Linked DNA regions of Bombyx mori. The protein of the gene in region 1 purifies or fractionates together with the protein of each later gene. This does not show direct contact. Links are inferred from orthologs where the notes say so. Each region holds a gene or a part of one and is shown on either strand. Other genes may lie near its edges. The genes, in order: roadblock domain-containing protein 3 and neutral amino acid transporter 9.

Evidence for each region.
Region 2: the proteins of roadblock domain-containing protein 3 (region 1) and neutral amino acid transporter 9 purify together in Homo sapiens (co-immunoprecipitation; 5 studies listed by BioGRID and IntAct, with this or other methods). This does not show direct contact. The link is inferred for Bombyx mori from reciprocal best matches to the Homo sapiens genes LAMTOR2 and SLC38A9.

Annotation. Positions count from the first base shown.
Region 1 is NC_085123.1:7,136,177-7,146,551, reverse strand, and holds roadblock domain-containing protein 3, read left to right. Parts: upstream 1-1,506; 5' UTR 1,507-1,588; exon of another isoform or gene 1,589-1,589; intron 1,590-2,089; 5' UTR 2,090-2,177; coding exon 2,178-2,245; intron 2,246-2,322; coding exon 2,323-2,632; 3' UTR 2,633-3,341; downstream 3,342-10,375. Other genes in the region: protein SDA1 homolog, read right to left, coding at 4,957-7,110; ERD2 (KDEL endoplasmic reticulum protein retention receptor 2), read left to right, coding at 8,905-8,995, 9,077-9,336, 9,495-9,641. UniProt on the Homo sapiens protein: As part of the Ragulator complex it is involved in amino acid sensing and activation of mTORC1, a signaling complex promoting cell growth in response to growth factors, energy levels, and amino acids.
Region 2 is NC_085109.1:1,886,150-1,896,225, reverse strand, and holds part of neutral amino acid transporter 9, read left to right. Parts: intron 1-2,615; coding exon 2,616-2,690; intron 2,691-3,232; coding exon 3,233-3,350; intron 3,351-7,269; coding exon 7,270-7,373; intron 7,374-10,076.

The DNA.
Region 1 (10,375 bases):
AAGCGGCTGTCCCATTTGAAATAATTTTTGAAGTGAAACTTCTTTAGGCGCATGGAGGTAAAATTTTTACAGAACGTCACGTAGGTATGCAACGGAAGTGACATCAAACTACTATTGAAATTAAGTACCGTAAAATGGGGCGATTAGGGATTGAGAGGCGAATTGGGAAAAAAACAGGAAACTCTTTCGACGCTCAATATTAGTTTTATATTCATTGCAAAATCTTCCATTTTTTGTAGTTTAATAGTAGAATGTTGAAAGTTCACAAAACAACTCTGAATATGCATGATAATAGCTGCTAACTTATAAAAAATCGCGTTTCAAATTAACTTTCTGTGGTGGTAATTATTTCAGTGCTAGAAACTTTGCTCTCTTTTATTTATTTGATTATAATAGAAGACGACTGTGATTTATAAACGTTATTTAGTGTTTGAACCATCATATATATTAAAGGTAAGTCTCAGTTATTATTGGATTTAATGTATTTGATAAAATAAAAATACATGTAAAAATCTGTTGTTTTTGGGGATATTGGGGACGTCTTAGGTACAAATAACAACGAAATAGGGGTCAATTGGGATGAGAATAAGAGAAACGGAAACGACCTAAGTACAAATAGGTACAGGTTTGTAGGGTTGTCTATGTAGTTAAAACAATATTTTTTAAATTTGTTGGTAAAAATCTGGTTTATTCATGATGTTTTTGTCTAGAACTTTTATTCAAACTTATCAATGTGTTGTTTTATTATTTGGTAAATATTTATATTATCAGTTACGTATTGTTTTCTATTTTTAGATATGCCTCGCGTGTACGTATTAAAGAGTGCCAAACCTTATAAGAGATATGATCCCTTAATATTATGTCCTTCTTCAAACGAGGCTTGTGGAGAGTATTAAACGGTAGGCAGCGGCTTGGCTCTGCCCCTGGCATTGCTGAAGTCCATGGGCGACGGTAACCACTCACCATCAGGTGGGCCGTATGCTCGTCTGCCTACAAGGGCAATAAATTAGATATACTCTATAGAGTATATCTAATTTAAAACGCACTTGTTAACAAAACGCTAGTAAATAGGGCCATTGCCAGCTGACTGACAAAACCGGCGCATGCGCAATGTAGGCGTGAGGTGATGGTTTGCTTATTAGATATAAAATAATTAATAATTGGGAATTTAATTGTTTTTATGATCGAACAATTACCAATAGTCGTTGAACAAACGATAATTGATAAAAACTAACTAATCTGAGCGATAAAAATAAAGATATCCAATAAGAGGGGCCAACTTAAGGGTGGTAATTTGCTTAATTAATTATAATAAATATTTAAACCCGAAGAAACACTAAATAGACAAAATAAAACAAATCACACAACTTCACTCCTCGCGTTCCCGCCAAAAAGTTCAAGTTCAGTGGATTACACGGATTGTCACGGATGCATAGATAATACACACATTGAGACACGGACGGCGACCATAGATTATACTCTTAATATATTTGACGGCGACGGTATTTTGATAGTTGTCAAATCCTACGTAAAAGTGGAAAATAGAAATTATCCTAAAAATTTAAGATCGTTGACGTCGAAAATTAAGTTCCATTTGACTCCATACAGAGGAGGGCCGTTCGGATTGTCGATAATCCCATTCTCTCGGATCGTTTGGAGCCTCTGGGTCTGCGGAGGGACTTCGGTTCCCTCTGTATTTTATACCGTATGTTCCATGGGGAGTGCTCTGAGGAATTGTTCGAGATGATACCAACATCTCGTTTTTACCATCGCACCGCCCGCCACCGGAGTAGAGTTCATCCATACTACCTGGAGCCACTGCGGTCATCCACAGTGCGTTTCCAGAGATCTTTTTTGCCACGTACCATCCGGCTATGGAATGAGCTCCCCTCCTCGGTGTTTCCCGAGCGCTATGACATGTCCTTCTTCAAACGAGGCTTGTGGAGAGTATTAAGCGGTAGGCAGCGGCTTGGCTCTGCCCCTGGCATTGCTGAAGTCCATGGGCGACGGTAACCACTCACCATCAGGTGGGCCGTATGCCCGTCTGCCTACAAAGGCAATAAAAAAAAAAAAAAAAAAAAAAAAAAAATAATAACAAATCAACACTTGAAAACGATTCAAGTTTAACTTCGTACTTAGCCATTTTCATGTAAATCCAACAGCACCAAGCCTTCAAAATGCTAAAACCGAAAGCATTAACAGAAGTTTTAAGTCAAGCTAATACAGGAGGAGTAGAAAACACTTTGTAATGAAAACATTTAGTTTGGTTACATATTTTATTAGACACTAAACATCAAAATTACAGGTGCTTCTTGATTTTAGGTTGTTGAATCATCAAGGTGCACTTCTAGCTTATTCTGGTTACAATGATAAGGATGCTAGAGTCACTGCTGCAATCGCTAGTAATGTCTGGTCAGCTTATGAAAAACACGGCAGAAATGTTTTTAAAGAAGATGGACTACATTTAATACTAGTAGATTGTTTAAATGGGAAAATTGCAATCACACAAGTTGCCAATTTATTACTGTGTCTTTATGCGAATGAGGCTGTTGGTTTTGGCATTCTGAAAGAAAAAATCAATGCTATTGCTCAGTATCTAGAAGGTCCTTTGAAGCAAGTTGCAAGTTCATAATATGTAATTTTAAATAATTATGAGCAAAATAATATGAGAAGTCACTAAAATACTTTACTTGGTTACTAAAATACTTTATTCAGTTATTTGAATCTTTAAATTTTATAGCTATTATATAAAACATGATAATTGCAAATTTGATTCCTGATTTGTATGCCATGTTTGATAATAAAAGGATTTACTGAGATAGTAGCTTAATGGATTCATTTGAATAATAATAGTTAAGATGCCTCATATACGTGTGCTATGCAACTATGCTGTATTTTCTGGGACAGGTATAAACATATTATTAAATATCTAGGTTCACAATAAACTTTCACATTAAAAAAAAGCTTAGAAATAAAATAAAACATTCAAAATTAATAGATTTTCATAATAACTGTCAGTATGGTGGAACCTGCATGGGTAGATAATATATACAATATATTAATATTGGAAAAATTAATGTACTGTAAAAATGTCTTTTCATTTTAATGTCAGACATTGTTACTACTGTAAATCTAATTAACATGTCCATATGTCAGTTTGCATGGCTTCTTTGTCAATTTGATAGTGGAACAAAATAGAAAAAGTAAAGTTCAACTAAATGGTTAATGCTAAAACCCCTATAAGTTGATGTACATTTAGTCATTAATATTTTATAAACTTTAATCAGAATATTTTGTAGTATCACAATTAATGATGACCCAGTATAAATCTATTCTTCTTTAAGTTTGTATTGAATGTTTAATAGTGACAGCATAGAGCTGAGCATAGCCAGGAGTATCCTTTATGTAAATCATACAGTTGCTCCTCATATGCACATTGTATCATTGTAACCTAGGATAGATAGATGGTTTATATATAAAAAATCGAAATTTGTTAATTGTTTCTTACCAGGAATTCCAGTACAAATATTCCCTTGTTACAAGCAGTCTCGTCTGATCATTAGCTTATAAATAAATAAATAAATAAATATTTACTAACTATCACGCCACGTTAACTGGTCCCGTGATAAGTTCGTAAAGAACTTGTGTTACAGGTACCAGATAACGGAAATAAATGTAAGATTTTTATTATACACATACATATACTTAATACACATCCATAACCCTGGAAAAGACATTTATATTTATCATACAAATATCTTCCCTTGGCGGGATTCGAACCCGCGACCCCCTTGTGTAGTGACCATGTCACTTACCACTACACCAGACGGCCGTTAAATATTAAAATATTCTTAATATATACTTATAAAATATAATAATACTTATAAAGTCATAAATACCAAATAAATAATAGGTAATTTACCTGTGAAATTGCCATTAAGCATACAGAAAATGAAAGCAATATTTTTATAAATATTTTTTTTATTTCTATAAATAAAAATATGCATGATATTGATGCATCTCTACCAATTTTTCAATGCATTTACTGAAGAACTTGGGTATGGGTGCTATCAAACTCTTTAAAGGCATTTTAAACGGCTTCTCGGGTATTAAATTTTAAGTTGTCCAAACTTTGGAAAAAGTAAAAGTCTGTCAGCACAAGGTCTGGTGAACATGTTGCATTATGCAAAACTTTCATCCTTAGCTCTTGGAGCTTAGAAACTGTATAATGTGTCGTACAAAGTGTTGTTTTTTTTTTTTATTGCCTAGATGTGTGGACGAGCTCACAGCGCACCTGGTGTTAAGTAGTTACTGGAACCCATAGACATCTACAACGTAAATGCGCCACACACCTTGACACCTTGTCTTCCACCTATACTACAGCAGAGAGGAGCCAGTAACCAAGGCTGGCATTCGCAGGCTTTTCCATCTTGTCTAGTTAATCGGGTACACATTCGGGTCAAAGCTAGTGCCATTTGGTTTGCTGTGATGAATTATTGATTAGACCACCAAACAGTGACCATTAATATTTTAACCACGACGTTGGGCAACGTAAGGCATTGTTTTGGGGCAGGGGCCGAACTTGATTCGAGGTGTCTGTGTCCATGGTACGATGGCTCATCAGGCCGCCCGGGTGGGCCTGCGCCAGCCTGCTGGGTGGGAACGCGATACACCGCCGACCGGGTTGCCCATCTACAGTGCGTCCGGTGATGACAGCGACGACGGCAACGCGGAGTGTAGCCGCTGAAGTGTCATCCTATCCTCATGGTGCCAGAGCGCTAGAGTTGTTACGGTAGCGGGCGGCGCAGCCTCGATTCACTCTTCACCCTAGGACCATCATCGGGAAACGTGTTTCACACAATGTTATTTATCATTTTTATTTTCCAGAAATGAAAGTAAAACTACAAGTGAAGATAGAAATAATATATATTTGAAAACATAAAATTAAATAAGGACTTATTTCATTTTCTTCTGTTTAATTAGGTAGTTTCTAAATGCAATTTGCTTTTCTTTGAATGATCTCTTGATTTTGCCTTTTGCTTTGTGTTTTACCATTTGATAGTTTTTAGTTTTCCTTTTTTCCCTATTTGTTTTAGAGCAGTTTGCATTTTTCCTGCGATCTTTGTATCCATATTTTTGCCTATCTTCTCGTCCTTTCATTACACTCTCCAACCTTGCATTCTTATCATGTTTTTTCTTTTTATAAATATTTTCAATAGCACCAAGTTGAACCAATTCTCCAGATTCTGCCTCCTCTTCTTCAATGTTAGTATTTGATTTTCTTTTGACGCCACTAATATTCTTTTTAATTTGTGCAGCTTCAATTCTTTTAAAATCTTCATCCGTAAATATTGTCTCCATAGCAATTTCACGTGCACATTTTACTTTTTCTTCATTGTCCAGTTTACGTTTTGCTTTTAATATTTTTCTTTCTTCATTTTTTTGTACAGTATCTTCAGGTCTGTCAAACATGTTATCAGTATCGTCTACATCACATTGTTCAGCTTCACCATTTTCGTCTATGTCACTTTCTTCACTGTCTGAGATTTCAATTTCTGAAGCAGATGACGCAACGTCAACCCATTCTTCACTGTCAGAATCATTCTTTTGCTTTTTATTTTTTTCACTTTTCTTTTTATCATTATTTTTCTCTTTCTCTTTTTCCAACAGGACTTCAGAACCAGGAATATAATCCTTTGTTTCTAGTTCACCATATTTCTTTGTTTTCAGTTCGATTGAGGCTTCTGTAGGTCTACCTCTGTCTTTTTTATGTAGAAGTTCTGGCATTGATTGTCTGTATAATTGAATTAAGGATCTAGCAGCCATCATCACAGATTTTTCTTTGTAACTTTTATATTGAACTAAATCTCTTAGTAAATCTTCTCCAATAGCAAGGGGACACCTTGTGCATATTTCACGCACAGCATTTAATCCCACTGCCATTACATCAGTTGAATTTCGTTCAGTTATAAAGTTATTTGCAATGGCACGCATTACTGGCTCAATAACTTCATATGGTACCAACTCATGGGAAGCTTGTGCAGCAAATTGCAAAATTCGAGTAACTTCTCTTTGATGAGGCAAAAGTAATCTAGCTATAAATGGGTAGAAATTGAAAAGGAAAAGATTGTGTAGACCGATCAATCTTGACACAACATCTAAGGTCATTAACTTTACCTCAAATCTATCATTTGAAGCCTCCATCTGTTTGAATAATTTCTCTGCAAGACCTTGCGGGTTGTTGATCAGATGTAATGCTGAAAAATTGAATGCAGGAGCTTTTTGCTTCTTTTTCTTCATCTTTTTTGCAATCTTTTTTACTTTCTCCACCATTTTTTCCCTTTTCCTTGTTTTCTTATTAAATTTATTAGAAATCATTGTATCTCTTGGATCAATTTCGTCATCACTATCTGAATTTTGTTCTTTTTCTTCCTCATCTCTACCCAGGAAAAATTTTAATGATGCTACAAGAACTTTGGTGAATTTGGAAAAGCATCCAATATCAGCAATAATGTTGACAGTTTTTTGATCATTCCAAATATTTTTGTGATATAATTCAACAAGTATGTCAATAGAGAGTTTAGCAGCTCTTGTGTTTGAATCTTGTAACATGCTAAAAATAAAGTTCTGCAATGTTGAATTCAGTTTCATATCTTTATTTTTCATGTTCATGTTTTTGATGTCTGTTATAATATGAGTTTTCAAAAAATCCCTCAAATATTTATCTTGGCATTTTAAAAGTGTAAAAAACAATTCTAGCAAATCAAATGGCGTAATAAAGTTTTTATTTCGAAGTAAAATTAAGCACTTGCATAATGCCAAACGCATTTCATTATGTAATGTTGTGTTATGTGTTTTTAAAACATCTACAATTTTTTGTGGAAAAGTTTTCATTTCATTAAAATAACACTGTGCAACTTGAGCTAAGAACATAGCTTGCTCATCGAGTTTTTTACTATATTGTGTGGGGTTCAAGTTGAATATTTCTAAAGTGGTCTCAAAATGTGCAAGTTGTTGATGAAACTCTTCTTTGTAAGATTCTGGATCACGTTTTATAAGATTTTGCAACTGCGTTAGGTTGTTCGGAAGTTGATTATTATGCCTAACCATTTTTTAAATATTTTTGTACAATAATAGGAACAGACTGGCACTAAATATTTAGATTTTTGTTGTTTCAAACACAAGACTACGAATTAGAAGTATTCTTTCAAACACGTTTTTTAATGAAACAATGCACAAAACTATTTGCGTCTGAGCATAGTGGATGCTATTATAATATGTGAATTATTCTGAATTGTGAATATTATGTACGTTATCAGAGCACGTTAATTATTTTATAAATATAACCTATTTGCTGAGCACATGTTTTTCTAATGTGGGATTTTATGACCTGGTAGCTAAGACCTTTAAGTGATGTCTTATTTTAATAATTTGTGTTCTTATTTTTTATGAAAAATTATATTACGGAGTGAAATGAAATGAAGATGATTAATTTGAGACATTAATCAACTGGGATGAAATGAAATGTAATGAAGGAGAAGGAATCTCACAGGGAGCCAGGAAGATCAAGTACTTAAGTGTCATCCATGACATTCCGCCTACAAAATCAGTCCGCAACCGTGCCGCATTTATTCTCGGTAAACTCTATCCCATGATTTGTAAGCGGAATAAAATGTCCCTTCGGAATAAATTGACACTTTACAAACTTGCGGTCAATGGCGGATCCAGGGGGAGGGTCATGGGGGTCATGACCACCCCCTGAGCTGGGTCCAGGACTTAGGTGGAATACTAATTGAATATAATGATTTTATTTATATATTTTGTCACCATACAGATTTTATGTAACTACATACCTTCAATATTTAATTAATTTAATATAATATAATAACTTTGTATAATGGTAAACGTTTGGGAACGAACGCATCTAAATTTGACTATGTGCCCCCTCCTGGCGCCAAAACTGGATCCGCCCTTGCTTGCGGTTCGTCATGACTTATGCAAGTGTGGTGTTCGCTCACGTGGCCCGCACATACGTCATAGACATCCTCAAATTCCTACCCACTTCGATAAAGCGGCACGATACGAGAACCCTCTCATCGTGGCCGCCGGTAACTACATTCCCGATCCTGCGGAAAGAATGGAAAGCAGTCGACTTCGCCCAAAACACGTCATCTCGGATCCTCCTGATCCACTAATGGTGCTTCTAGGTACTTCAAGCACCGGTCACCGTTCTCATCGAACCCGTCGCTTGCGACGAAGGGCTCGACGAGTAAATTAACCCTCAGACTCAGCCCACTGAGTTTCTCGCCGGATCTTCTCAGTGGGTCGCGTTTCCAATCCGGTGGTAGATTCTGCGAAGCACGACTCTTGCTAGGGTTCGTGTTAGCAACTTCGTCAGGTTTGAGCCCCGCGAGCTCACCTACTAGTTAAGGTTACGCTGGAATAGCCTCTCAAGGCTACCAGCTTAGGTAGGGAAAAAAAAACCAACCTAACCCATGCATCAGCCCGCTGAGTTTCTCACCGGATCTCCTCAGTGGGTCGCGATTTCGATCCGGTAGTAGATTCATTCTCGAAGCAACTGCTCTCTGGTTGTTAGGTCTCCTTCGGAGTCACCCGGGCAGCTGTTAGCAGATTCCACTCCTCTTGGCTGAGCCTTTGCTTGCCCACCTGTCCTGGAGAAACTGGGAAGGCCTCCGGGCCACCAGTAATTCTTCAATCATATAAGAAAATATTCAAATTAATGAAACATAGATTACATTTAATTTTATAAGCGAACATTCCTCATTATGTTATTGACATCAAATACGTCGTTTGTCATGTCAAATGGCCACGTCATTTTGGCTTGAATGAGAGGCATACGCGGCGATCTTATAATTAATTGTATAACGAACAAATAATAGAAACATGAATATATTCCGTTTGCTTGGTGATCTATCCCACCTGTTAGCTATAATAATATTGTTATTAAAGATTTGGAAATCAAGATCATGTGCAGGTAAATTACATGCAAAGAATTCTCCCGGCGTGTCATTCAAATATTTATTTAACTCTAATAAATACTTAAATTATGTTTCAGGGATATCAGGAAAGTCTCAGATTCTGTTTTCAGTGGTATACACGACACGTTATTTGGATCTACTTACAACTCATGTGTCCCCGTATAACACTGTCATGAAGTTGGTGTTCATCTTTACCTCCTATGCAACTATTTATTTGATGTATGTCAAGTTTAAGGCCACCTATGATCACAACCATGACACATTCAGGATTGAATTTCTACTGATCCCCACCTTTATCTTGGCTTTATTGATAAACCATGAGTTTACTGTTTTGGAGGTAATGTTCTGTGTTTTAAGTGATATTATCCATTTTTCTCAGAAGCACTATAAATAAAATAAATTGTAAAAACTGGGCTTTGATAAATGTTAAAATAATATTTTTTAATTGTTAGTAATTTGTATATGTACATGTTTTGAGGATATGCATTGTTTTAGGTATTGTGGACTTTTTCCATTTATTTGGAATCTGTCGCTATTCTACCTCAACTGTTCCTGGTTTCAAAAACAAGAGAGGCCGAAAGCATTACCTCTCATTATCTGTTTGCTTTAGGTTCATATAGAGCTCTGTACCTCTTGAACTGGGTGAGTTTATTTCTAAAGTGAAAACTTCACTCTCATATTTGTTAAAACTAAAGTAAAAGTAATTCAAGTTAATAATTATAAACAGCTAAATTCACTTAGAATTTTTAACTGAATTTTACTGGTTAAGGTAGGCAAAAGGCCTCTTCCCTGGGACCTGGAAGCGGAGGCGCTCGCTGCGGATTACGCGTGGCGATGTGATCTCCGCTCCAGGGGGGAGCCGCGTCCCGGTGCGGCGGAAGTTCGAGCGTGGAAGCTCCAATCACGGCGTGCCGTGCTCGAGGCGTGGTCTCGCCGCCTGGCGGACCCCACCTACGGGCGACGGACCGTCGAGGCGATCCGCCCGGTCCTCTCGGACTGGGTGAATCGCGACCGAGGACGTCTCACCTTCCGAGCGACGCTGGTGCTCACGGGACACGGCTGTTTCGGTCGCTACCTGCACCTCGTCACCCGGAGGGAGCCGACGCCGAAGTGCCACCATTGCAGTGGCTGCAACGAGGACACGGCGGAGCACACGCTCGCGTACTGCCCCGCTTTCGCGGAGCAGCGCCGCGTCCTCGTTGCAAAGATAGGACCGGACTTGTCGCTTCCGACCGTCATGGCTGCGATGTTCGGCAGCGATGAGTCCTGGCAGGCGATGCTCGACTTCTGCGAGTCCACCATCTCGCAGAAAGAGGCGGCGGAACGGGAGAGGGAGAACTCTTCCTCCCTCTCGGCGCCGTGCCGCCGCCTCCCGG
Region 2 (10,076 bases), on another chromosome or scaffold:
ATAGGTCAAGATGATTGTATAAATACCGGCGGTTAGCATATCTCTGTTGCATTCGTGTACTAAAGAGAATATATTAATTCGTGTGGACGTAAAGTGTCTCAATTGTCGCCGCCACCCTGAGGATCCGTTTATAGTATCCGTATTTATGTTCTTTCCAGTACATTTTTAATAAACGATGCTCTATGCTATTACCTAATAATTTATTTCGACACATGTTTGCCTGGAAGAGATAGCTCGAAGCGATAAGGATATTAAACATTATTTAAGCCTTTACTTGTCCATGCCTTGTAGTTTTTCAATAGAATTTTATTACTGTGTCCTTCACTCTCTTTTTGATAGACATAGAGTTATGTACATTCTGTTTTAGTTTTTGCATTGTTAGTCAAATTTAAATACAACTGCAAGAGACTAATGTGTAGTGTTGTTACTAATGTGTAGTGTTAGTACCTTATAGGTTATATTAACTTTCGAAGGCTTCGCTGATTTTATGTAATAATTGAAGCAAAATATTTTTATTTTTTTTATTGCTTAGATGGGTGGACGAGCTCACAGCCCACCTGGTGTAAAGTGGTTACTGGAGCCCATGGACATCTACAACGTAAATGCGCCACCCACCTTGAGATATAAGTTCGAAGATCTCAGTATAGTTAAAACGGCTGCCCCACCCTTCAAACTGAAACGCATTACTGCTTCACGGCAGAAATAGGCAGGGTGGTGGTACCTACCCGCGCGGACTCACAAGAGGTCCTACCACCAGTAAATCAAAACATCGCAATGAATTTTAGTTCTGTGGCAGTCCGTCATAGACGTTCTAATGCAAGGACAATTAGGTAATATTTCTCTAATATATTAAGTGTATAATCTATGGTAATATTTGCGGTTAAGGCATCTTCTGATTAATATATTTCGTTTGATTTTGAGGTCATTTCAAATATAAGACTAAATATTCATTCAAAATTCCTAATTGGCTTTTAAATCTATTGATTCTCTTCCCAGAATATGTTGAATTTAATCTATAAATTAAAACTTGTAATTAGTAAAATTTAGAGAAAATAAAGTTAATTTGTCTCATTTAAATTCAAGTTCATAAGGTCATTCGAAACGAGGCATAAAAATGACAGGCTGACGTCGATAATGTGTCAAGATAACGCCGTTGAGATGTGAACCCGTTGCTTATTTATCTATGAATAATATTTTTTGAAAAATTCAGTTTGTGCGTTGAAATTTATTTCCACTCAAACATGTGAAGTATTAATGTCAGGTTAGGCTATCAAAGGTTATCGATTTACAAGTTTTGTTGCTTTAGGTCTATTATTGATAGAAGCTTTAGGTATAAGACTTGAATTTAATTCGAATTCAATCAAAATAATTTTCATGGTATGTTTTACGTCATTTTTGCATCTAGAACAAAATATTTTTCAAATAACTTCCGGTTTATATGCTTTGTTTCATTTTTAGCCTTTTGATATTACCTATAGGACCAAGGTACACTTAACCACTTTGAGTTCCGAGAACGATAAAAGCAGTAAGGGTTAATTATTAATCTGTGTTTTTTACTTATAAAGCTTAGAGCAGTGTCTCCCAACCTTTTTTGTGCCATGCCCCACTGTAACATTACTAAAAATTTTATGCCCCCATAATTTTTAACATAAAAAATTAATTCGTTCACTTAAAAACATAAATGATAGGTTTTATTAAGGAATCACTATAAAATTGTTATCAAAACACAGTAAGTAATATTTCAAAACATAATAAAAAACTGAAATTCAGATTCAAAATAATTTTAATACAGATTTTCTGTATTAATTTAATTCGATTGCGCCCCTTATTTATGAAATTGCCCCCTTATGGGGCGTGGGCTCCACGTTGGCAAACACTGGCCTACAGTATTTTGAAATACGTCATTATTCAGACATTTTAAAACATCTGGTGCATGTATCTCTTTATTTATTTTCTTTTTTACTGTATGGTAGTTGGCTAAATGCATGGCCTCTACTGTCAGTGTCCAATTCACAAATATCTTTAATTACTACATAAATACTTTAAAGGAAATATGGAGCGAAAAGAAAAGAAATATTTTTTTTTGTAATCCTTTGACATAAATTTGATTAAAACAAGATAAAATAAAATGATATAGCATCTCGGTAAAATGGTATTGGGAATTTACTGAGACTTTCATTGACTTTTTGAATGAACCCGAGAATCCCGTCCAGCAGCTTTATTTTATTTTCCCACACTTTCACGTATGCTAAATATTTTAAAAGGCGCAGACCGCAGGTGTATTTACCACAGCCTATTTAAGACGTATCATACATATTCAACTTTAGTACCACTCCAGAGAATGCATTTTAAAAACATTTTCACCGGTAGTTCTTTCTGCTTGGAACATGTACCTTTAGCGTGCATAGAAAGAAAAACGGCATTTTAATGATCAGTAAAATAAAATTTACTACAAATTCTCAGAAGTAAATCCGCTGGCGATCACTAGCGAGCTCTCATTGTTTTATAGCATTTATCTTAGTGTCTTGCGATTACAGTCAACCTTACTTGGCGACAGCGGATCGCCTCGGTTAGTTTAATAAGTTTAATTATTTGATTTGTATATTCTTTCATAGATTATTCGGGAGTGCCTGCTCTGACTATTCTGACTGTGAGTACTGTGATGAGAGAAGACGACAGATTAAAAAAAAGTAAGTTAAAGTACCTAGATTTTAAACTCAAAATGACAAAATATACGCTAATAGTTTGCGTGATTTTGGTGTAATAGAGATAAAAGGCTTTATAACTTGTGTCCAGTGCCGGTAATAAATAACAAAATAAAAATTTTTGAAAAATCTCAACATGATCAGGCATATTTATCTACATTTTTCGAAAACTTTTATCGTTGTACGTACTTCTTTAGTTAAAAAATGGGCCAATATTGTTCAATATTTCTAATAACCATGCAAAATTATTTAAAAAGTTAATCGAATCTTCTCCTTTTTGCGTCATTTATGATGTTCAAATGACTCTCTCAAGTGCGGTTTTGCGCAGCGCATTGGACGCTTCCCTCATATTTATTTTTATAACATACAAAAATATGAATAAAAACTGATTGACTTTTATTTTTTATCTCAGTTTTATTTAGCCCTTCCATTACTAGTTTTTATTACTATTACATTACTATTGCGAGGCCTTTAAGGGCTTAATTGGACGTTACCTATTTAAAAGGAATTGTTTGCCTAATTGACAGGTATTCACCAAGTGACAGCTACTGTAGTGCAATGAGTCGTTTGGAAACGACCCCTTTGCTTGGAGTACTGGCAACAAGACCGGCCTACAAATCCTTGGGAGACAGCACGGATACACTGGTCAGTAATTAAAAAAAAAAAGCTGAAATACATTCAATTTTTTTTATGGAGGGTAGAGGTAAGGAGAACCATCTCAGTATATTAAAAAGTGTTCACTGAAGGGCAGCAAATTAAGATGGCGCCATAGTAGCAAGTGGAAAGATTTTAAAAACAGCGCCACAAGCTGTTACACTTCTGGTATATTCCGATTTGCAATGCGAGCACTGTAAAGTGTGACGTCAAATTAGTATACTGCCAAACCGTTCCTTTATAGTACAGTATACTGTCATCGACGTTGTCATGGAGGTGTTTTCATTTCAGCAAAAAAAATCTTGTTTAAATTTACTTATATTTGAAAATAGAATATTCAAGTTATTGTCAGTTTAATTAATCGCTAAAAGAAAGTATATTTTTAGTAAAAGAACATATTGTTTTTCAAGCAATTTAATCTATAATAACTTAATAACCGTATTATTGAAATGAGGTTATGCACGGTAAAAGTGCTGAAGTGAAGATTTATGAAATCATGTATCATTCCTCCGTTCCATTCATCATCATGTATAATCAATCATTCCTTAAGTTACTACTATATATATATATATATATACTGTCAGTCCTTAACGTAGGCAACGAATAGCAGTGAGAGCACTGAACAGTGCTCGGAGTGTAAATCGGAACACAATCGGAACGTTACTGATGGTAGGACCTCTTGTGAGTCCGCGCGGGTAGGTACCACCGCCCTGCCTGTTTCTGCCGTGAAGCAGTAATGCGTTTCGGTTTGAAGGGTGGGGCAGCCGTTGCAACTATACTTGAGACCTTAGAAATTATATCTCAAGGTGGGTGGTGCATTTACGTCGTAGATGTCTACGGGCTCCAGTAACCACTTAATACCAGGTGGGCTGTGAGCTCGTCCACCCATCAAGCAATAAAAAAAAAAACATAGCCTTCACTGCAATCCAGCACACTTCACTCAGTTGAAAACTTCTATATTCATACTATTTCCCCTGGCTACGCTAGCGCTAATTCGGTGAGTTTTCGAATTATAATTTGCTGTTTATTACAGATGACACTTTTTCAACTTGTCCCCTATACAAGATGGTGCTCCTTACCTCTACCCTCCATAATTTATTTGCGTTTCATCCACCAAATAAGCCATTTAAAAAGTTTACATGTATGTACATTTATTTACCAGTTTTGGAATATATCAATAAATTGTTGGAATATATAAATCGAATGACGAGCGAATTTGAACAATAACCTAACGTCACAGTTCAACAAATTAAGCTGAATAAATAATATTGTTACAAAAAACATTCTCATTATCGTCTAATTAGGTCAAGTGCGCAAATTGTAATGATTTAAACGGCTTGTCAAAACATAATCAAAAAGCATTCTCGCTTTTTTCTGCCCTTGATTTTTCTGATAACAGCGATATTTTTAATTTAAAACCAAGAAGATCACAGAGCTAATTAGCTAGGGGCTGTGATTGAGCAATATACCCAGCAATAGCGTAATATTTGAAATAAAAAATCTACTGTATATCACTACACGCGGGACATCTATCGTCTGTTTTTTGTAGTGTATTACCCGACTAAGTTTCTCGCCGGATCTCATTACGGATCCTCCCGATCCATTAACGGTGCTTTTAGGTACCACAAGCACCGGTCACCGTCCTCGCCGAACCCGTCGCTTGCGAGGAAGGGCTCCACGAGTAAATTAACCCATAGGTACAACCCACTGAGTTTCTCGCCGGATCTTCTCAGAGGGTCGCGATTTTGATCCGGTGGTAGATTCTGCGTAGCACTGCTCTTGCTAGGGCCAGTGTTAGCAATGCTCTCGGTGTTTGCCCCGTGAGCTCACCTACACGTCAAGGAGAAGCTGAAATATCATCACAAGGCTATCAGCATTGGTAGGAAAAAAGAAAAAAAAATACATCGCCCGATCTTCTCTGAGGCTCGCGATTCTGATCTGGTGGTAGATTCTGCGTAGTACTGCCCTTGCCAGGGCCAGTGTTAGCAAATTCTATAGGTTGAGCCCGTGAGCTCATCTACCCGTCCGGGCGTAGCTGAAATAGCCCCCTAGGCTATAAGCGAATAGGTAGGGAGAAAAAGCAAATATAAAACAAAAAAAGAAAAAGGCAGAGGTCCACGGCACAAGGCAAAAAGCGCATGAGCGCAGAGATCACGAACAAACAAACTAAATTTATCTGTAATCGTCAATTAACAGTCAATACGTAATATTAGGTGGCGGCATTTTGAACGTAAACCTATTTGATAACACACTGTTAATAAATAATCAAATAGAGTAAATCGACTTCGCCACAGAATATAAATAACCGTATTTTTTTACGAATTAAAAGTATAAAAAATCATTAATATAAATAAATCGCTTAATTCGAAACGTTATCATTACGTGAATTATTGGCGGCGTGTTATCGTCGACGCCAGAGCCTGTTTATTATGTCTCCAAATCTCGTGCAAGCGATCCTTGGATAGCAAAACTTTAATCTTTATAGGTTATCTAATAACGTTTTGTTATTTGCTAATAATACGGTAAGCATATATAAAAATAAACACAAAAGAACTTAGTTGTCAAAGAAAACTTATAATATATAGTATGGGACCCAAACACAGATATATTTTTTTATTGCTTAAATGTGTGGATGAGCTCACATCCCCCCTGGTGTCAAATAGCTACTGGAGCCCATAGACATCTACAACGTATTATAAATGCGCCACCCACCCCATATACAACGTAAATGCGCCACCCATCTTGCGATATAAGTTCTAAGGTCTCAGTATAGTTACAGTGCCTGTCCCACCCTTCAAACCGAAACGCATTACTGCTTCACGGCAGAAATAGGCAGGGTGGTGGTACCCACCCGCGCGGACTCACAAGAGGTCCTACCACCTACCACAGATTAGGCTTGGAGCTCCTACTCCTAGACCGCTCCGCCTATATCTCAGTGGAATTGGTGTCAACTAGGACTGAATCGAGAAACACATAAGTCACACAGGAGTCTAGACAGACACACTGGACCAGGCTAACGTCCACCTTGGGCTGCAAGCAGGGACGTCTTAAATTAGGCTGGGGCCCTTGGGCACACAAGAATTTGAGGCCCTTTTGGAAAGTAAAAAAATATATTTTTACTGAGTATGACCATTTATAGGTAATCAAATACAGTATGATATAAAATGTCATTAATGATATTAGAATGCTACTGGTTTTTTTGTTACGATCACGATAACGGAAGCCGTTATCGTGATCGCTAGATGGTGTGCTAAGTAAATTAGGTAGGATGCGTTCGGAAATATTATTAATTAGTACAGTAGAAATAGGCGTAGCCATCAATATAATGGCGTAGTACATGCCTTGAAAATACCTTCTGATAAGATTACTGATTTGTGAAAAAAGTGTAATGTGCCCAACAAAAATGTTTAGAGAATAAATGCGTGAGAGAAATTGTCGGTCCTTCGGGGCCCCCTGAGAATGGGGGCCCTGGGCACGGGCCCCGTGTGCCCTTATGGTAAATAATAATAATAATAATAATAAAACATTTATTTCAGAAAAAATCCATAAAATAATAATAATACAATAGTCAGCACACAAACAGTTCAACAATACAAATAGAAAATGAACAATATACTAATTCAATTAATTAAATATACAAAGGAAATGAATTAGAAACACATAATTATATCAATACAGTAGTAACCACTCTATGTCAATATTAGCTATCATTATGTCAATCAGTCAATTAATTTGGAGAAAAAATAAAATAAAAAAGAAAATCATACACATTTCATAATGAAGAGTAAAATAATAATAAGGATATGTCAGTCTTGACATATAATAATAATACCTTATAAGACGGTATTGGCTGCAAGACCTAATATAATGATGCCATACGAAGGTTTTTATATTATTTTTCTTATGACAGGGTCCCGGAGAGGTTTCCTCAGATGCCGTATTATCTACTTACAAGAAAAATTTCGAAAAAACTGTCAAAAATGAAAATAAGAAGCAAAGCTCTTTAGTTACAATGTAAGTAACAAAACAAATTTGTTGACACGGATCCGCCTTACGTATTTACACTACGAGAAATTAGGTTTTTTCTCACAGGAAATTCCAAGTTGAGGAGTGAATATTAATAAATAAAATGCAGACTTTTAAATTAATAAGGGAAGCGACGAGGCTAACTCGTAAAATGACGATAATATGTCCAAATATACAAACATTATCTCTTTTTGATCAATTAACATCTCGCTAAGACTTATCAAATCAAACATGCATACTTATAATTTGACTGAAATATTTTTATAGTTATACTCCACTACTCTGTATAATAGCTGTTATAAAATTACTATTATTTAATACTTTAATCTAGGCATCTCGAACTATAAATTATTGATAACTTGAGGATAAAGTTTGCAATTAATAATTTCCTTGCACAAACAAAGTATAAATAAATGCCTTTTGTAAATTTGATTAAATAATAGACTCAACAAACAAAATATTTGCAAGATCCGATTTGACGACCAAGCTGACCGAGTTTCTCGCCGAATCTTCTCAGTGGATCGCGTTTAGATCGTCGCGTGGTAAATTCTGCAAAGTACTGCTCTTGCTAGGGCCAGTGTTAGCAACACTCCGGTTTGAGCCCCGTGAGCTTATCTACTAGTTGAGGTTACGCTGAAATGGTCTCTAGATGACTATCAGCTTAGGTAGGGAAAAAAACTTAATTTTGTTTCAATAACATCACTTTTGTAAAATCAAAGGTGTAAAAGTGTATTGAGTTTTTTTTTCTTTCACGCAGATATCGATTGTGTATAGTGAATTTTTCTATGAGATCGAAATAATATTCATAGAAAATACTTTTTTTTTTCCTACTCCCTAATCTGATAGCCTTGAGAGGCTATTTCAGCGTAACCTTAACTAGTAGGTGAGCTCACGGGGCTCAAACCTGATGTCGAAAATACATGACTTACTAATGAATATTCAAAGATTCGGTTTTGTGATACGGCGTGTGGGACATAGACGTTTTGTCCCCGGAATAATGTGTGGGCACTATACGGCATTTCCTTCGGTTTCAGCGACTTGTATACATAATTAAAACGTTTACGGTTTAAGCTCGCGCTTGTTATTAGGTACTTTGGTCAGCATTATATTCGAAGGTGACGTATGCCTAACACCTTAGTCGTCTGTGACAACGAAAAAAGTAAAATATTCGAAGAGCCTGCAGTAATTAAATGAGAAAAATAATCGCGAGATACAAATAAACACAAAGGTTATTTTAAATACTGTCACCCTTTTTTTAATATCAAAACAAAATAAAACCCTGTTCTACTCCGATCGAATCAAAGTATCTCTGTCGTCTCACAATAATTAACAAACTTGTAGATTCTTCCAAAGCTTAACCCAGTGGTCGGCAAACTTATCAGCCAAAGAGCCAAATTTGCAAATTAAAACGACTTAAAATAAATGAGAGCCAAATCTGTTTGTAAATGTAGTAAGCATTTATTATTGCAAATCATAAAATAAGTGCTTTATTGTATACTGATTCGATTAATATATATATAATAATCGACATCAGTCTGGGGTGCTGATATTAAATGAACGTACATACTATTAACAGGCTTTTTCGTCCAAAGCCGGATAATATTAGAGGCCGGGCAAGTCCGTAGGATATTTGTGCCAGAGCCACACTCAAGAGTTCAAAATTTGAACTTCAAATACCCGCACTTTGCCGACCTCTGGCTTAACCCATACATCAGCCTGCTGAGTTGATCTTTCAACGGGTCGCGATTCCGATCCGTAGTAGATCCGATGCATTTGCTAAGTAGCTACCTTTAGAGCCATCAGTGTGCTTAGTGCGAGTTTTTTAACGTTCTCGATAGCGTAAAAGTTCGCCCAATTTTGTATGCAATTACAGGAACAGCGCCCCTAGCGGTAAACGTACGCAAACGATCCCATTCCATACAAATATGAAATAACTTTTACGCTATCGACAACGTTAAAAAACTCGCACTAAGCACACTGGTCTCTTTAGGAGGCGCTCGGGCGGTTCTTAGTAGATCCCACCCATCCTAACCGAGTCTGTCCTCGCCCAACTGCCCCGGTGAAACTGGACCAGCCGTAGGACCATCAAAAAACCTTAGAAAAATAACTTCAAACAAAGTTTATTTAATCAGAATCTAATCTCAATCAAGAATAGTGTATAAATTAGTTAGCGAATTGGATTTATTAGTTCAAGAGTGTAGGGACACATTTAGCAGCGTATGCAGTTTTGTGCATCGCATGCATTTGGTCAGTCGTACATAGCCCACCCGACACGGCAGACACTGGTGAATATACGGAGTTAAAATTGCAATCAACTTGTTTCCTTAGTAAAGGGCAGCTTACTCTTTACTCTTGCTAAAGCTACCGTACAGTGGTGACCCCGAGGACTCGAACTTTATTTATACCGTGCGTTTTGTGTACCGTGAAAGTGTTTTTTGGGACTTGGACCGGTACGACCCACTACTGCGATTTCCTGCACCATGGCGCAGGCCGACGCAGACGATTTCAAGCAAACCATGGCTCCGGAAGCTGCTCTCCAACTGGCAAGCATTACCATATCATCACGCATACCAGAGTTTTGGATGGACCAACCACGCCTTTGGTTTATCCAGATTGAGGCTATCCTGTGCCCGCAGAAGCTAGGCGACGAGCAAAAATACAACTTGGTAATCGCGAAATTAAGCAAGGATG